Linked DNA regions of Daphnia pulex. The protein of the gene in region 1 interacts with the protein of each later gene in a pairwise test. Links are inferred from orthologs where the notes say so. Each region holds a gene or a part of one and is shown in the gene's direction. Other genes may lie near its edges. The genes, in order: dynamin-like, E3 ubiquitin-protein ligase Su(dx)-like and sorting nexin lst-4-like.

What was found.
Region 2: the proteins of dynamin-like (region 1) and E3 ubiquitin-protein ligase Su(dx)-like interact in binary tests that used the Caenorhabditis elegans proteins (3 or more experiments, as listed by UniProt). The link is inferred for Daphnia pulex from reciprocal best matches to the Caenorhabditis elegans genes dyn-1 and wwp-1.
Region 3: the proteins of dynamin-like (region 1) and sorting nexin lst-4-like interact in a two-hybrid assay, tested with the Caenorhabditis elegans proteins (2 studies listed by BioGRID). The link is inferred for Daphnia pulex from reciprocal best matches to the Caenorhabditis elegans genes dyn-1 and lst-4.

What each region holds. Positions count from the first base shown.
Region 1 is NC_060023.1:11,179,444-11,184,686, forward strand, and holds the start of dynamin-like, read left to right. Parts: upstream 1-2,286; 5' UTR 2,287-2,582; coding exon 2,583-2,746; intron 2,747-2,812; coding exon 2,813-2,886; intron 2,887-2,954; coding exon 2,955-3,104; intron 3,105-4,532; coding exon 4,533-4,736; intron 4,737-4,936; coding exon of another isoform or gene 4,937-5,140; intron 5,141-5,243. Other genes in the region: tRNA (guanine-N(7)-)-methyltransferase-like, read left to right, coding at 151-227, 296-414, 479-632, 696-840, 921-1,022, 1,082-1,219.
Region 2 is NC_060026.1:2,733,101-2,738,343, forward strand, and holds the start of E3 ubiquitin-protein ligase Su(dx)-like, read left to right. Parts: upstream 1-2,256; 5' UTR 2,257-2,608; intron 2,609-2,689; 5' UTR 2,690-2,795; coding exon 2,796-2,889; intron 2,890-2,953; coding exon 2,954-3,098; intron 3,099-3,159; coding exon 3,160-3,316; intron 3,317-3,387; coding exon 3,388-3,536; intron 3,537-3,615; coding exon 3,616-3,939; intron 3,940-4,006; coding exon 4,007-4,162; intron 4,163-4,225; coding exon 4,226-4,334; intron 4,335-4,410; coding exon 4,411-4,577; intron 4,578-4,657; coding exon 4,658-4,786; intron 4,787-4,917; coding exon 4,918-5,160; intron 5,161-5,243. Other genes in the region: carcinine transporter-like, read left to right, coding at 4-205; alanyl-tRNA editing protein Aarsd1-B-like, read right to left, coding at 296-419, 495-586, 658-798, 872-938, 1,000-1,130, 1,202-1,318, 1,381-1,499, 1,577-1,829 and 2 more. UniProt on the Caenorhabditis elegans protein: E3 ubiquitin-protein ligase which accepts ubiquitin from an E2 ubiquitin-conjugating enzyme in the form of a thioester and then directly transfers the ubiquitin to targeted substrates. Ubiquitinates klf-1.
Region 3 is NC_060028.1:5,995,620-6,000,862, reverse strand, and holds sorting nexin lst-4-like, read left to right. Parts: upstream 1-1,984; 5' UTR 1,985-2,171; coding exon 2,172-2,183; intron 2,184-2,339; coding exon 2,340-2,501; intron 2,502-2,651; coding exon 2,652-2,759; intron 2,760-2,826; coding exon 2,827-3,187; intron 3,188-3,265; coding exon 3,266-3,418; intron 3,419-3,484; coding exon 3,485-3,719; intron 3,720-3,791; coding exon 3,792-3,935; intron 3,936-3,998; coding exon 3,999-4,194; intron 4,195-4,247; coding exon 4,248-4,454; intron 4,455-4,532; coding exon 4,533-4,580; 3' UTR 4,581-5,213; downstream 5,214-5,243. Other genes in the region: protein AATF-like, read right to left, coding at 14-165, 237-633, 703-770, 831-1,642, 1,705-1,795. UniProt on the Caenorhabditis elegans protein: Involved in the signaling of vulval development by acting as a negative regulator of epidermal growth factor receptor (EGFR) signaling. Aids in phagosomal membrane tubule formation which is required for phagosomal fusion with endosomes and lysosomes.

The sequences.
Region 1 (5,243 bases):
GCAGCCATTAGAACGTGTGTAGAGCGACATTGCCAGTTTTGAAAAATTCATTTCGTAATTTTGACTGCTTTTACAATTTCGTCTGCTCTTCTTCGAATACAATCCCGCCGTTTATGAGATTCCGGCACGTGGAACTCGAATACAGCAAAAATGGCTAGCTTACCACAGAAAAAATATTATCGACAAAGAGCACACTCCAATCCTATCGCAGATCACTGTTTTGACTAGTGAGTATCTTATTTCCAGTTTTCGATTTATCATTAAGTCATTTTCTAACCCAATTTGTCGTTTGAAGTCCTGTCTCTCCCAATGACATGAAATGGGATGAGCTCTATCCTACATTCAGCAAAGATGGAATAATGAAACACAAAGTTCAGTTTGCTGATATTGGATGTGGCTATGGCGGTTTATTGAGTATTTTTATCACATTTTGCCAATAAAATATGTGGAAAATTAATTTTGTATTTTTTTTTAACAGTATCATTATCCACCATGTTCCCAGAGACTTTAATGTTAGGAATGGAGATTCGTTTGAAAGTTTCAGAATATGTCCAGGATCGCATAAAGGCGTTGAGGATTTTGCATCCAGGTGATTACGGAAATGTTGCCTGCTTAAGAAGCAATGCCATGAAGTACTTACATTTATTTTGTTCATTTACTTGGGCATGTTTGCTTAATTTATTCTATGCTACTAGGTACCTCCCTTGCTTTTTCGATAAAGGACAATTGACAAAAATGTTTTTCCTCTTCCCTGATCCTCATTTTAAGAAGGCCAAACACAAGTGGCGTATTATCAATGACACTCTCTTGGCTGAATATGCCTATGTTTTGGCTGAAGGGGTAAGTAGGCAGGCCTAGAACGGCCCTTCTTTAGCTACTTGATGTAGATATCTTGTGTGATTAATTAAATTTTACTTTAGGGTTTGGTTTACACAATTACTGATGTTAAAGATCTTCATGAATGGATGGTTATGCATCTAGACCAACATCCATTATTTAAGAGACTAACCCAGGAAGAGCTGGTTAGTTATACTTTATAATTAAATAGCTATAAAACTACAAATTCTTTTTGCGGTATCAGGATCAAGACATTGTAGTTCCAAAACTGTACGAATCAACGGAGGAGGGCAAAAAAGTCACGCGAAATAGTGGTGATAAATTTCTTGCTGTATTCAGAAGAATTCCTGATCCATTCGTACTTGAAGAAAACAAGTGCTAATGTATACAAATTTGTTTGCCGGTTCCCTGCTCGTCACTTGTATTGCTCCCAATGGAACTGTTTGCTGGAATTCACATAATCAACCAGCTTTAAGCTGCCATTCAAAATAGGTGACCCACGTTTTATGTATGCATCGCCCATGCGCAGAACAGACAAATTTTCCAAGATCAATAGTTGTTGACAAAGAACTCATAAGGTATGTACGGTATTTTGTAACTGAAAAGGGAGCGCGCGCAAACGTGTCAAATGACGAATGGGCACTTTGAATTAAAGTTTCATGGAAATAAATTTAACATTCTCTTTTTTGGCAATCCATTTGTAGATCTGTTTGACTGAAGGGTCTTTTATGAATGATTTCCTGATTTGTAATGTTTCTAGTTTTCAAAGGGATTAACTTGTATCTTTTTGTGGAGCTTGAGTTCTTATTGATTCATTTGCTCATACGATCGATACGTTCAATAATCTGCTTCATAGAGAAAAAAAAAATCGTGTTAAGTTTCCGTCGTCTACGTATCGACCATGTGTCAGCTGACGATTTCATGGGAAGCAAAGGAACGTGGAAAAAAAACGTCACCATCCATCCTTTCAACTTATTGTTATTCGTGTTGAATACCATTTTGTAAAAATCTTAATCGAATTAGGCGCGTAGGAATTCTGCGACGCTGTGAAAATGGGATGGGTTGAAACTCGGGGAGCGTGGCATAAATGTAATTTCACTAAGCCGACTAAGTGACTAAGACGAGATTGCATCACTGATAGTGATGTTTATTGTTATAGGATGTGAAATCCTAGCAGGCGGTAGATGAAAGAATATATAAGGAAATAATATTCCGATGAAAATTTATGGTGCGCATCAGCGTGACCCATTTGTGCTGCGTAATATGATTTCCTGCAGTTTTATTTTGTTTGAAATATTTAAACACTTGACGGATGGGAAACACTTGAATATGTTCGGCTCCGGTCCGACGGCTTTTCGTCTTATAGAAATTTCTTCGATCCCCGAGTCAATATTGGGACACTTTCCGATGCGGTTGTGCAATCGGCCGCTGTGTGGCGTATCTCACAGTCTATGCAGCCATGTTGAGTTGGCCTGGCCATATTCGAGCCAGTTCGTGCTATGAGAGACGGTGCTGGTGCGCTCTCTCCAACCGCTGTCATTCTCTACCCAACGTCAAACACGGTTCCACCGACAGTATTGTGGCTGAAAAAAGATTAACCAACTCCCTGAAAGTCTTCTTGTGTTTTTTTGTGAATTTCGTTTCATTGTGCAATCCTCTCTGTGGTCCGCCATAGTGGGGAAGTTCCCGACTGGTCCGAGTTCTTTTTGTAACGTTAGGCTCGACCGTCGAAAACACCATCGAAAATGGCAGGCAATCAGGGAATGGAATCCCTTATTCCTCTCGTGAATAAATTGCAAGATGCCTTCACTTCGTTGGGGGTGCAAATGTCTCTTGACCTACCCCAAATTGCTGTTGTGGGTGGGCAAAGTGCAGGAAAAAGCTCTGTGCTGGAAAATTTTGTTGGCAGGTGGGATTAATTTCGAGAAACCTCCCCTTTGTTTTCTCATAACTCATTGTTTTTTCACTTGTGCAGGGATTTCCTACCTCGTGGCTCTGGCATTGTCACTCGACGTCCCCTTATCTTGCAGCTGATCAACTCTCCTCAGGGTAAGTAACTTGGCAAATGCAATACATGTTATATCTGTGAGTAATAATCAATATGTTTGAACTTTCAGAATATGGAGAGTTTTTGCACTGCAAAGGAAAGATCTTTGCTGACTTTGATGAGATTCGTAAGGAAATTGAGGCAGACACTGACCGATTAACTGGTACCAACAAAGGAATATCCAACTTGCCCATCAATTTGAGAGTATACTCTCCTCACGGTAAACCAATTTTACTTCACAAGTCCAACTTTACTTACAGAAAAGTTTAGAGTTTGATAATGGTTATTTATTTAAGAATTTAAAATGTCACACAATTGAACTAGACTTTGGGAGGGTTTAACGGCGTTATTAAAACACCATTACAAGTAATGGTGGTGGCCAAAACATGTCGCCAAGTTCTTTCCCTTGTCTAAATCTTCCGACCCATCACTACTCACACTGGAGTATACGTCCACATATAGAAAAGTGTGCAGTCCCGAGCATTGCTCGGGATGAACGGATCAATACCTCCTGCCCGCTGCGAGAGATTGGCACTATACAAAAAAGAGGAAAAATAAGGAACCCCCCTCGTTGGTCGACCACATTTCCATGATTCTTGCATCATCGATCATTCTCTCTTATGTAGCCAAAGAACCGCCTCATCACCCCCCGTCCGACTAGGCTCCCCACGACGACTTGATCGACAGACTAAATAGTTGAGAGAGTAATTAGATTGGGTACCACCTAGAGGGGAAGCCTCCCGTCGACTCAACACACTCGTATGAATGAATCCAGCCATTGCTCTGCCTATACGACAACCGGAGTAGCATTTGAAATAGCCATTAAAAATGTTAAACTTTAGTATTGTGGACTGGGGTTTATTTTTCCGGGAAAAAACCCAAATTCTGTATGTCTTCCGTCTCGAGGGTATACGCGGTTTTGTATGTATCGTGTATGTGCGCGCAAAAGAGGGGCCCTCTCAACTGTGGGAGGATCGAGGCTGGTCTGATCGATACGGCCGTTTGCCGTCTCCTAGGAAGAGAATGAGCAGGAAAAAAGGGAGAAATAACGTAAGAGTTTTTCTTTTCTCGTGCAGCACCACTCACAACAACAACAAAAAAAGAAGAAGAAAGATTACTCTTATTCAGATGCTGCTACACTCGCCCATCACACCGTAGTTTCGTTGTGGATTGGTCGCCATGTTGTGTCGATGCCTCTACAAGAAAAACTTTTCTCTTTTTTTTTCCCAAGGAATTCGCATAAGTTTTTCCCTTTTTTTTTGGCGCCATTGACAATCAATAGGAAAAGAAGCTGAGTCTTCTGGTCGATATTAACCTCAAGAGAGCAAAAGGGAACAGATGGGATGAAAGAAGGAAAAACAAATTGAGGATAAGACTCACACAAAAGTTTTTGCTCTTTTTCTCAATTCTTACCGAAAGATGTCTTATCTAGGCCGGTTATAGTGGAACGAATATTTGATCTGGTAAACTGACCTCTTGAGGCACGCACCGAGTCCGAGCGCTTCCCCCCCGCAATATAATGTAATAAAAGAATGCCATTGACCGGAATCTTCTTACGAGCCATTCGTGTTTTTTTTTTTTCGGAGGGCTTTTTCAATAATAAAATAACTCCCACAAACTCACGACTGTTGCGTGTGTGTGTATGTAGTGCTGAACATCACCCTGATCGACTTGCCCGGTCTGACCAAGATCGCTGTTGGCGATCAGCCTTTGGACATCGAGGCTCAAATCCGAGACATGATTTTTCAATTCATCACCAAGGAGACTTGCCTTATCCTGGCAGTCACTCCTGCCAACATTGATTTGGCTAATTCGGATGCCTTGAAATTGGCCAAGGAAGTGGATCCCGATGGTATTTCACATTGCGAAATTATCAGCACGAATACTTGGCAGCTTCTGTATTTATGAATGGGCCCCCCTCGTGTAAATAGGCTTGGCGTGTGTGGGTTCTTTTTTTAGTTAGTTATGTAATGAATGATGATCGCATGTCAAGAGTTTCTTTTTTATTATTTTTATTTTATTTTTTTACCGCTTTTTGTTTTCGTGTTGTAGTTCTTAATTTGACCCTGATTGATTTGCCTGGCTTGACGAAAATTGCCGTCGGTGACCAACCTATCGACATTGAGATGCAAATACGTAGCATGATCCTCACCTATATCACAAAATCTAGTTGCCTCATCCTGGCTGTTACCCCTGCCAACATTGATTTGGCCAATTCGGATGCTTTGAAACTGGCCAAAGAAGTAGATCCTGCAGGTATAATAAAAATAATAAATTGTAGTTTCTGCTCCTCTACCCTTTTTTAAAAAGGTCGCAGGCACGTGAGTTGCTTCCTGATTCGTGTTTTATTGCTTGTATA
Region 2 (5,243 bases), on another chromosome or scaffold:
AAGGGCTGACGAGTCAATTGAAATGCATGAAATGTCGGGACCCGTCGACAATGAAGAGACGCCTCTTCGAGTGGAGAACACTACCCCTTTGTCGACACCCCTGGCGAATCGAAAATCAATGCGCAAGCTTCTAGTCCACCGAATGAGCTCGCTAGAGCTACCAGTCGACAAATCCGGATTAGTTAAATTACATTATTGGTATTAACTCGTTTCGTCTGTATTCACATCACTCTTATTGCCAGGCTTTGAAAGGTTCAAGTACAAAATTGAGTTAATTGCACCGATGTCTTGTTTCTCACTGGAAGTAATCACGAAGGATCGTTTCCGCCTCTTGCCGTGCTGATGGATTGAGTTGCGTAACCTTGGCTTGAAATCTTTTACCCTTGCCGGCGCCTTTTCCGGCTAAACAACTGCAAATTCTAAAACCAAATATTTGCGAGTTAGTTTTAAAAAGTTTGTTCCGATAAGGAGATCTCTGTCGCAATGGAACGTACTTTGGACCAAGAGAGCTGACCACATCCTCTTGACCAATAAGAGTCATTTGCCCGTTGTTATCTTCTCCCACAGTAATAAGTAATGTGATGTCCTAAAGAGAGAATATTAAAAAGAAAATTTTAATGTTAAATAAGGACAATTAAAAACTAATAATCTAGATACCTCAGAAGCCAGTTCTGAAATTAGAGCACTTGCATAATCGGCATCGCCGTCTTTGCGGTGAACAATCGAAAATTTCGGTTTCTCGGTTTTAATTTTCTCTGCCTGATTGACAGCTAATTCTTTCATCAAAGTTTGCAAAGTCTTAAAAGAAAAGAAAATTTTTAAATTAATCTACAGTCGATTAGGATACGGAGAAGTTCAAAAGTTGTTTTACCTTTTGTGATAACTTTACTGAGGCTTGTAATTTATTAGCTAAATCGACATGATCTTCAGGTCCGTTTCTGAAACGAGCAAATGAGTTAATCACTTGTCATTTCAACAATTATTTTAAGCATTTCATACTTCAGAATTTTAGTCAACTGGCGCTCCCTGTCAAGTGAACGATTGATGTAATCTAGCACTCGATTTCCACTTATAAAGAAGAGGTTGGTCTTATTTTTTTTACCCTTTTCAGCATAAAGCAGCTTTATGAACTAAATGAAGTATTTTAATCGATGGTTAATTATTGCTTGTACTATTGGGGGTAGTAAACTGCGTACAATACCTGTAAATGACTAAGGTTGGAAACGTGAGTTCCACAACACATGTTGCTGTCTACACCTAAAATAGTTACGACGCGAACAGGACCAACGTGGTCATCGGGAAGACCTCTAGAACGGACCTACGAACCCAATATGGTTTTCTTTAATTTAACTTTAATGTCAATTAAAGTAAAATTCTTACTTGGTCGGGTATCGCATCTCCTTCGTATACTTTTACTTCCACAGAGACAGCTTCCCTGATTTTCTCATTCACTTGGCTTTCAATGGTTTTTAGTTGGGCATCAGTCAGATTTACAGTATCTTGTAATTTAATATTAAGTGTCAATCAATGATGCTACAGAAAATTCTGAACACAAAGTTAAGAAGGAAAAATTTACCTAATTCAATATGGGAAACAGATTCCCCAAGCCACCAAGATGTTGTTTTGAAACCAAATGAAGCATCAGCAATTGCAGTGATTAGATGCTGCCCAGAGTGTTGCTGCATATGATCCCACCTTCTCTCCCAATCAATGACACCTGTAGCTAGAGTCCCAACATCCAGGCTGTCTTGTAAAAAATGGATGGCATCCTTCCCTCTTCTTTTGACTTGAAAGACAGGGATTCCGTTCAAGAAGCCTCTGTCATCAGGCTTTTGACATTTGAATTTTTAAAACCAATTCTATATGAGGATGTGTAATTTAACGTAAAAATTACCTGGCCTCCACCTTCAGGAAAAAAAACGGTATCTTCCAATAAGACTTCAAATGCTTGTACTTTCTCCTTTTTCCCCTGGACGAGCCTCTCGATCTGACACGGCGAACAAGAGACGACTTTGCTCGTAAACTACGAAACACCATACTGATCATTAATAGGATAAGAAAATACAAATACCAAAAAGGAAAATTTATTGAACCTCTTTCTTGTACGGTGATTTTTGACATTCAAAGACCATCGTAGACTTTTGGCAAATTTTGCACTGTTGTTATTTTTTTTTTCTTTCTAGCAGACAAAAATACAATCCATCTGTTGGCAATATTTACAACTTTGAAGAAAACACTAAGAGAAGAAATTGGCAACAGTGTTTTAAGCCAAGAAAAAATGGTGACTTATTGCAAAGACTTGTAGTCTTGTACTTGTGTTTTGTGTGTTTGCTATAATTGCAGCTATAATTTTATCTCGTTCAACGGGAAATACCACCAGAGTTTCTAATCTTTATACTGCCTGCTTGTATTTCGGTTTATTGACATTTTAAAGAGATAATTTTACTTTCGCGCTAATACTCAACTGAGCCCTGTAGGTGTATTTTTTTGCTGTTTTCACTTCACAGTGACATTTTTCTAAAGTCCTAAAGCCTGGTTGTTATAAAGATTATAAATTAATTTCAACACCGAAACATCATTCATGTTCCATGTAGCAGTGTGGATGCAGGTTAGTGGTTTGCATAGCAAAATCTTTATCAGTGATGACGTCAAAAATCAGTACTCATCTTATCTCTTAAATTTTTTACAGGTTCCTGTTCTGATTATGGGCTTTGATAGTATTGAAAACACCAGATCAGTTTAGTATCTGGTGTAGTTCTGAACTACAGCAACGTCCAAGGTCTGACCTCCATGAAATGGCTGAAACTGTTGCAGCTGTTGTAACCAGTTCCAATAGCGCAAGCTCTAGGAACAACAATGACTCCCACTTTCATCAACTAAATCTCTCAGGTTCAATGCAATTGATATTTAATCTTTACATTGGAAAAGTTCTAATCTGATTTATGCAATATAGTTCTAAAGGCCACTGTTGACCCAGTTTGCATAACAAAAAAGCCTTCACCATATGTTGAAATCTTGGTTGATGGGAAAGTGGTTTGGAAAACTGAGGCTGTGAAGAACACACATGATCCCACTTGGTCTTGTGAATCCTTTACTGTGTATGTACAGTTGCTATGATTCAGCACATTTGCAAGTGTCTTATCTTATTTATTTTTCTAGTCTTGTGAAAATCAATTCAAAATGTCTACTGAGGCTCTACAGTCATTCAACTTTCAAGCGAGATTTGGTTCTAGGAGAAGGCAGAATAGATATCCAAAAACAACTAGTACGAGAACAAGGGAAATTTGATAAAACCAGTCTTGTTCTGGATGTTAAGGTAAGCCTCATACTTGATTACTAGAAAAACACAAAACAAACAAAATTATTCAATATTTCTGGCATCAATAGGGAGAAATAAAGAATACTAGCATTGCATCAACGACAGAAGCAGCTAACGGTCGCAGCTCTAAAGTGAAGATTGGAGAAATTTTTATTGTGATGGACGGAATGAGGGTAGATCCAAAATTGTTGACAGGCAGTAGTCGAAGCGCAACGAGGTAATAATGTGCAGCGTTCAAATGGAAGCGAGCGATTCATCATTATAAATCTGTGTGCTCCCATTTTTTTAATCATCAGAGTGAACGGAGAAACAGGTGAATCCAGCTCAACCGCTGAGATCCGGACGAACGGTGCAGCAGTAGCTCCTGTCACGAATTTGACCACGGGCGAAAATGGTGGCGGAGCTCGTCCTCGTACCCGATCGAATGATGTTGAAGCCGCCCCCATTCCAGCAGTAGTAACTGGTGTTCCATCCAGGACACCCAACGGAACACCGCAGCAGACGCCGTCCAGGACTCCCAACGGGACAGTGGCAGCACCGGCTCCGAGGACTGAAACTACCCCAGCCACGACAGCACCTCCGGCTGCTCCACCTGGCCCCGAAGAACCTCTTCCGCCAGGGTGAGTTGATGCTGTTGTTGTATCACATCCATTTGAAATGTAACTGACGTTATTTTGTCTTCATTAGATGGGAAGTCCGTTTCGATAAATACAACCGGCGCTACTACGTCGATCATAACACGCGGAGTACGACGTGGGAGCGCCCGCAGCCTCTTCCGGCCGGATGGGAGATGAGAAGAGACCCTCGTGGTCGAGCCTACTACGTGGATCACAACACTCGATCGTAAGTTTATTTAATGGTTTCAACTTTTTCAATTAAATTAATTCGTATTTGTAAATTAACCAGGACGACATGGCAAAGACCGAATGTTGAACGTCTGCAACATTACGAACAGTGGCAAGGCCAGCGAGCGCATGTTGTTCAACAGTGCAGCCAGAGATTCCTATTTCCACAGGTAGTTGATTCATTGATCATTGAGCTAATCGTGACGTCACTTGCATTGATGTTGTTGTTGTTTTTTTCCTAACTAGGGTGGAGGAGTCAGCACCGGAACGGCGGTGGTGACGGGTACGGAAGAGAGCGATCCGCTTGGACCTTTGCCAGAAGGCTGGGAGAAACGTGTCGAGCCTAATGGCAGGGTCTACTTTGTCAACCACAAGAATCGCACCACACAGTGGGAGGATCCGAGAACCCAGGGGTGTGTCTCTCACTTGTCAATTCATCGAAATCCCTCAATCAATCTATATCTCATTTCTTTCTTTCTCTGATTCATTTCAGGATGAACCAAGAAGATCCTTTGCCTCCCGGCTGGGAAATGCGAATCACGGACGATGGTGTTCATTATTTTGTGGATCACAATACCCGGACGACCACCTTCCAAGATCCTAGACCAGGCGCAACTAAAGGGTATGATTATGTTGTCCATCATTACTGCCACAACGTGTTCTATCCAGCTCGCCCGCTACTTGAAAGTGCTTTTATTGCTTTGTGTGTGTTAATTGCTTGTGTTTTTTTTTTCCTCATTGCGCTGGACGCAGTCCGAAAGGTGCCTATGGCGTTCCCATCGCTTACGAGCGCTCATTCCGCTGGAAGCTATCTCAATTCCGCTATCTGTGTCAGAGTAATGCCTTACCATCACACATCAAGATCACTCTCAACCGGTCGACGCTCTTTGAAGATTCGCACCATCAGATTATGCGCTTGCCCGCCTACGAGCTCCGCAGGCGGCTGTACGTCATTTTCCGCGGCGAGGAGGGCCTTGATTACGGAGGAGTGGCTAGGTAAAATTATTATTAATTAAATACCCCCTTTGCGTCCCTTGAAGTGTGCGCTAATTGGACACTGAAGAGGAAACTGATTTTTC
Region 3 (5,243 bases), on another chromosome or scaffold:
AAACGCTACTAACCTTCCAAGAGCAATTTGATTTGAGCCAGCTTCGCCAGTTTTTTTTTCAATTAACTCACGAAGTAATTGATGATAGAAATCATCGTCATCATAAATTTCAGGATCGAATTCTTCATAATCGACTTCTTTAGTTTCGGGTAAATGTTGGTCATCCTAAGGAGAATTACTCAATAATTACTTGAACATATTAAGGGGTAAAAAACGATTGTTAGCTATCAAATTACTTGTATGTGTTCCTCTCCTTTTCCATTAATTGTATTTTCCTTGGGACTGAGTTTAGAAATAGATCCCAGTATGCGATAGGTAGATCTCTTTATCCGTGTACGATTTATCAACCGTTGCTTGTCGCTAAGGATACCCTCAATTTGTTTCAAGATAGATTGATCAAAAGCCCCAAATCCGGCTTTGCTTCCAGACCCCGTTCTCCCTGATGCTAATCTTGTTTTTTCATTCCACATGTTCAGTGTACGATGCCAAAAACCGCGCAATTTTTCGTGTCTTTCTCCAATCTCGGATTCATATCCGACTATTTTTTGTTTTTTGCGCTTTGGTCCTCCATCATCAATGTCCTCGTCGTCTTCTCCAGCTTCTTCGTCAGTGTCACTTGGAATTTCTTCATCACTATTTGACAAGGAAACACTTTTAAATTTTAATTAATGCCTTTTAAACTGAAAAATTAACATTTAATACCTGCCCTCTTCGTTAGACTTTCGTTGCGTTAATGCTTTTGTTTGTGGATTAGATTTAAGAAGAAGCTCCTGAATTTTTAATTTTTTTATTATTTTAAGTAATTTAAAATACAATAAAACAGGAATTACCTCTAGCTCAAGGCAGTTGTCCAATAATGATTTAATAGCTGCCTGAGCACCTTGACCTGCTGCAACAAAATGGTTTTCTCCACTTGCTTTAGTAAAAAGCTTGTAATTTGAAGGAGCTTGAGGTAACTGATTACATAAATTTATTCCTTTATGCATCTTTATACGACACTCAAGAAGATGATCCCATAATGAGAGTTGATTTTGGATAGATTTTCCCTTGTTTATATCATTATCATGAGAATTTTTTGACATTTTTTTAACTTTTTCATTTTCTTCTCCTTCACTGTCATCTACACTTCCAATGTCTCCTTCCTCTTCTTCCTCCTCTTCTCCCTCCTCTTCACCCTCCTCTTCACCCTCCTCTTCACCCTCCTCTTCACCCTCTCCTTCTTCAAAATCAGCTTCTTCGTCATCTTCAGATTTATTCAATTCACTTTCATTACTATCTTCTTCATGAATATCAGATTTCAATGAACCACTTTCGTCTTCTGATTCCTGGAAGATGTTGGGTTTCTCTGATTTGTTGTTTGTTTCTTTCATGAATTTGTTCTTAAATTCCAGAATATTTTCTTCCCCACTTTCATTATCAGATTCTAAAGATGACTCAGAACTTTTGTAGCCTTCTCCTACAGGAGAATTTAGATCTTTGCGACTGACACGCTTCCCAGCATATCGGCTATCTGAAACAGCTAATAATTCCACATTCTTTTGGCGTAGATTAGATTTATTTTTTGGTGCTTTATTCTTAACCACCTGAGTGTTATCATACGACTCATATTGGTCATCAAAGGACTCCAGCCTTGCTTTACTTTCTAGAAAGATTAGAAACACTTTAAGAAAAACAAGTAGGTGTTATTTTGTTTCAATTTGTTACCTTCGTTATATTCATCTTCTGGATCAGCAAACTGAGGTGTTGGATTGGCAAGTTCGGCTAATCTTTCACTTAGGGATTTGCCTTTCGACATTTCATAAATAAATGTTTCACAATGTATACATTTAAGTTTCAGTATTCTAAAATAATTGATACCGCGTGTCGCGTGTTTTACTACCAATACACGTTGCAGACGAATTCGAACAATCGTACTTCTTTTGTTTTTCTTTCAAACCAATGCAGTTAATATCTTTCTACAGTAGATGGCATTACTTACTAGACAGAAGAAACATTAGGGCCTTAAAATGTCACTCGGGTCTCAGATTTTGTAACTTATCGTTTGGTTTCAGATTCAGCTCTGCTCATCACTGACTCATTCCTCTCAGCTGTTATTAGGGGGCGAGACGAAATCAGTTTGACAGCACACAGCAGCAGGGGTATTGTAAAAAGCTGAGTTTTTATTCTTCGAGATGGCTGGTCAGGTAACTTTTGAGTTTTGATTCCGGTTTTTCTAATTATCAGTTTCGTCTTCTAGTTAGAACTATAAATTTTCTCACTCCTGTAACTGCTGTTACCATTTCATTAACCATATCCGGTTTCGAAACCAGTTTAATTTACAAAATGAATCGTTTTTCTAGGCGCGCGTCCTTTATGATTTTGAAGGCCAGCCTGGCACATCTGAACTATCTATTGTTACTGGTGAAGTTCTAACTGTCACTAGTAAGGATGTTGGTGAAGGATGGTGGGAAGGTAGTAATCAACGTGGAGTTAGTGGAATATTTCCTGCAGCCTACGTTGAGGTATGAATTTCTTCCTACTCCTGTTATGTCATGCATGCTAGTGTAAAACCAGAAAAGAATTTTGTATCATTTGGATTTTTCTGTATTAATAACATGTAAATTGAATTATTTTAAACCTCAAAAAACCATTTTATTGTATTAATTCAACAGGCTATTGAACAAAATTACAATGCACCTCCTGCTATGCCTCCTCCTCCATTGCCCCAGATATACGTAGAGGAAAATGTAGCTCCAGCGATTCAACAGCAACAATCACAGGTATTCCAAAAACATTGTGGAGATTCCTGGTAACTGTATTAATAAGGTATTTTCAATCTACTTCCAGTACGACGATGATTGGGATGACGACTGGGATGATGACGTTTCTGAAGCCAACCAAGGTAGCAATCCGGGAAACCCTGCTGCAGGTGGGAGAAGCAATAGCGACGTTGGTAGTGCGCTTGATGTCAACATGGCAGGGTTGAAATTGGGAGACGGTAAAGGAACCGTTCGTAAAAATTTGAACCGGTTTTCTCACTTCGTTAAAACTGGCGGAGAAGCTTACATTCTGGGGGCAAACAAAGTGACGTCCACTGATAGTGACCAAATCCACATCATCGAAACCAACAACGGTATCACATGGGCTCCGAATCCTCAACCTTACTCGTGTGTAGTGGCTTCACCAAAGAAAGAATCAAAATTGAAAGGTAATATTTTTACAACCTAGTCGACTAATTTTTAAATATAATTTAATGTGTCAACTTGTTTCTATGTTTTCATCGTAGGCCTAAAAAGTTTCATTGCCTACCAGTTGACACCGTCGTTAAACAATATCCAGGTTTCTAGGCGATACAAACATTTCGATTGGCTTCACGAAAGACTTGTGGAAAAATTTTGCATCATTCCCATTCCTCCCCTTCCAGACAAGCAAATTTCTGGTGATTTCTTATATTTGTAGAATTTTTGGTTGAAGTCGATTTGCTGAACTTGTGTACTTAAAATAGGTCGGTATGAAGAACAATTTATCGAGCGAAGACGTCTACAGTTGCAATCATTTGTTAGCCGTGTGTGTGACCACCCAATTCTCTCACGCTCCGATGTCTGGTTGCACTTTTTAACGTGCACAGATGCCAAACGATGGAAAACGGGCAAGCGGAAAGCTGAAAAAGACGAAGTAATTGGCGCCGCAATCTTTGGTGTTGTACAAGTACCAGAAAAGTCGCTTGACCCACTACAACTGTAAGTTTTTGTTGTTGTTTTTTTTTTTTTCAACTGTTTATTTGATCGCTTTTACATTTTTCTTGATCATAGTGACTCTCAGACCGAAGCTTTTGGGCGTTTCGTGCAGTCGTTTGATACAGCTGTCCGCATGATGCAAAGCAACTTTGCCGAACAAGTAAAACGGCAGCAAGGTCCATATAAACGCGACTATCAACGTGTTGGCCAATCATTCAGGTAGGTTTCAAAGAGAAGTGCTCCGCCCTTGTATTGTTGTTAACCAACTGTTTGTCTCTGTAGAACTCTTGGCACGGCTATGGAATTGCTAGAGACAGCTCCTCTGACCAGAGCACTTTCCCATACTGCTGACACGTATGATCAGATAGCTCTTCTTTGTGAGGACCAACCACGATTGGATTTCGAGCCGATGGGAGATTTACTACACGATTATCGTGGACTACTTGCCTCATTTCCCGACATCATTACCGTCCACAAGGTAACCCAGCAATTTCGGCAATTTTTAAAACAATACTAATTTTTAATTTATAGGGGGCCCTTCAAAAGCGGCGCGAGTTGGAACGCTCCGCATCTGAGGGTAAAACGGAAAGCACCGTTGTAGTTCGTGCTCAACAACGAACAGATGTTGTTTCCTACACGCTACTGGCTGAAATGTCCTATTTCCATCAACAACGTGTTCACGATTTTAATGCAGCCGCAAAAATCTTCCTACAGGAACAGATCACTTACTATCAAAAGGTTATTATTTATTTTTCCTTTTTTTTCTTTTTGCAACTTCTCTACTAATACCAGATGTTTGAAATGTATTTCATTTAGATTGTCGATCATCTGCAGTCCACCTTATCCCAGTACAAGGATGTCTAAGAAAAAACAACAACCGCAGTACTCGGATTTTAAAAGTCGCATTATTTTTTTTTAATTCCATTCCTTCATGCGAATGAACGAAGTTTCTCCTAATTACTTTGGAATCCTGGCCGCCACGGATTTTATCTTTTGTTTTCTTTCTTACGGGAAACATTCCCTCAGATGGTTTGAAAATAGTCGCATGTTAAAATTCTTTTTGCTTACTTTGTTGTTTCGCTTTTTCTTCTACGTAGCTACGTTGTCTATCTTCATGAGCGGGCAACCGATTTACGAAGCCATTCTTCCAAATTGGCAAGAACGAAGGCTATCAAGTGCAAACAGTGTCATAGTCAGACTGTGTTTCTGTGTGCAGCTCACTGCCGAGTTTTCGTTACACGAGAGTTGTCGTTATTCAGAGAGAAACGGTAGAGTTGTGTAGATGAGAAAAATGGTTTAACGTGCACATTGCTCGCGAGTCTTAAAAGTTTATGTGCTGTTAATAAGTTGAGAAGCACAAGAACCATAACAGTGAGCTTCTATGTCATTTACATTTTCCTATTCAATTGTCATTCAAGTTTGTCATCTCCATCGATGGTGCGCTTAGCCAGCCTTACTTTTCAAATGGTACGGAATACATAAAATTTGTATCGATAATATCATAACCTGACAGAATATTGTGTATGA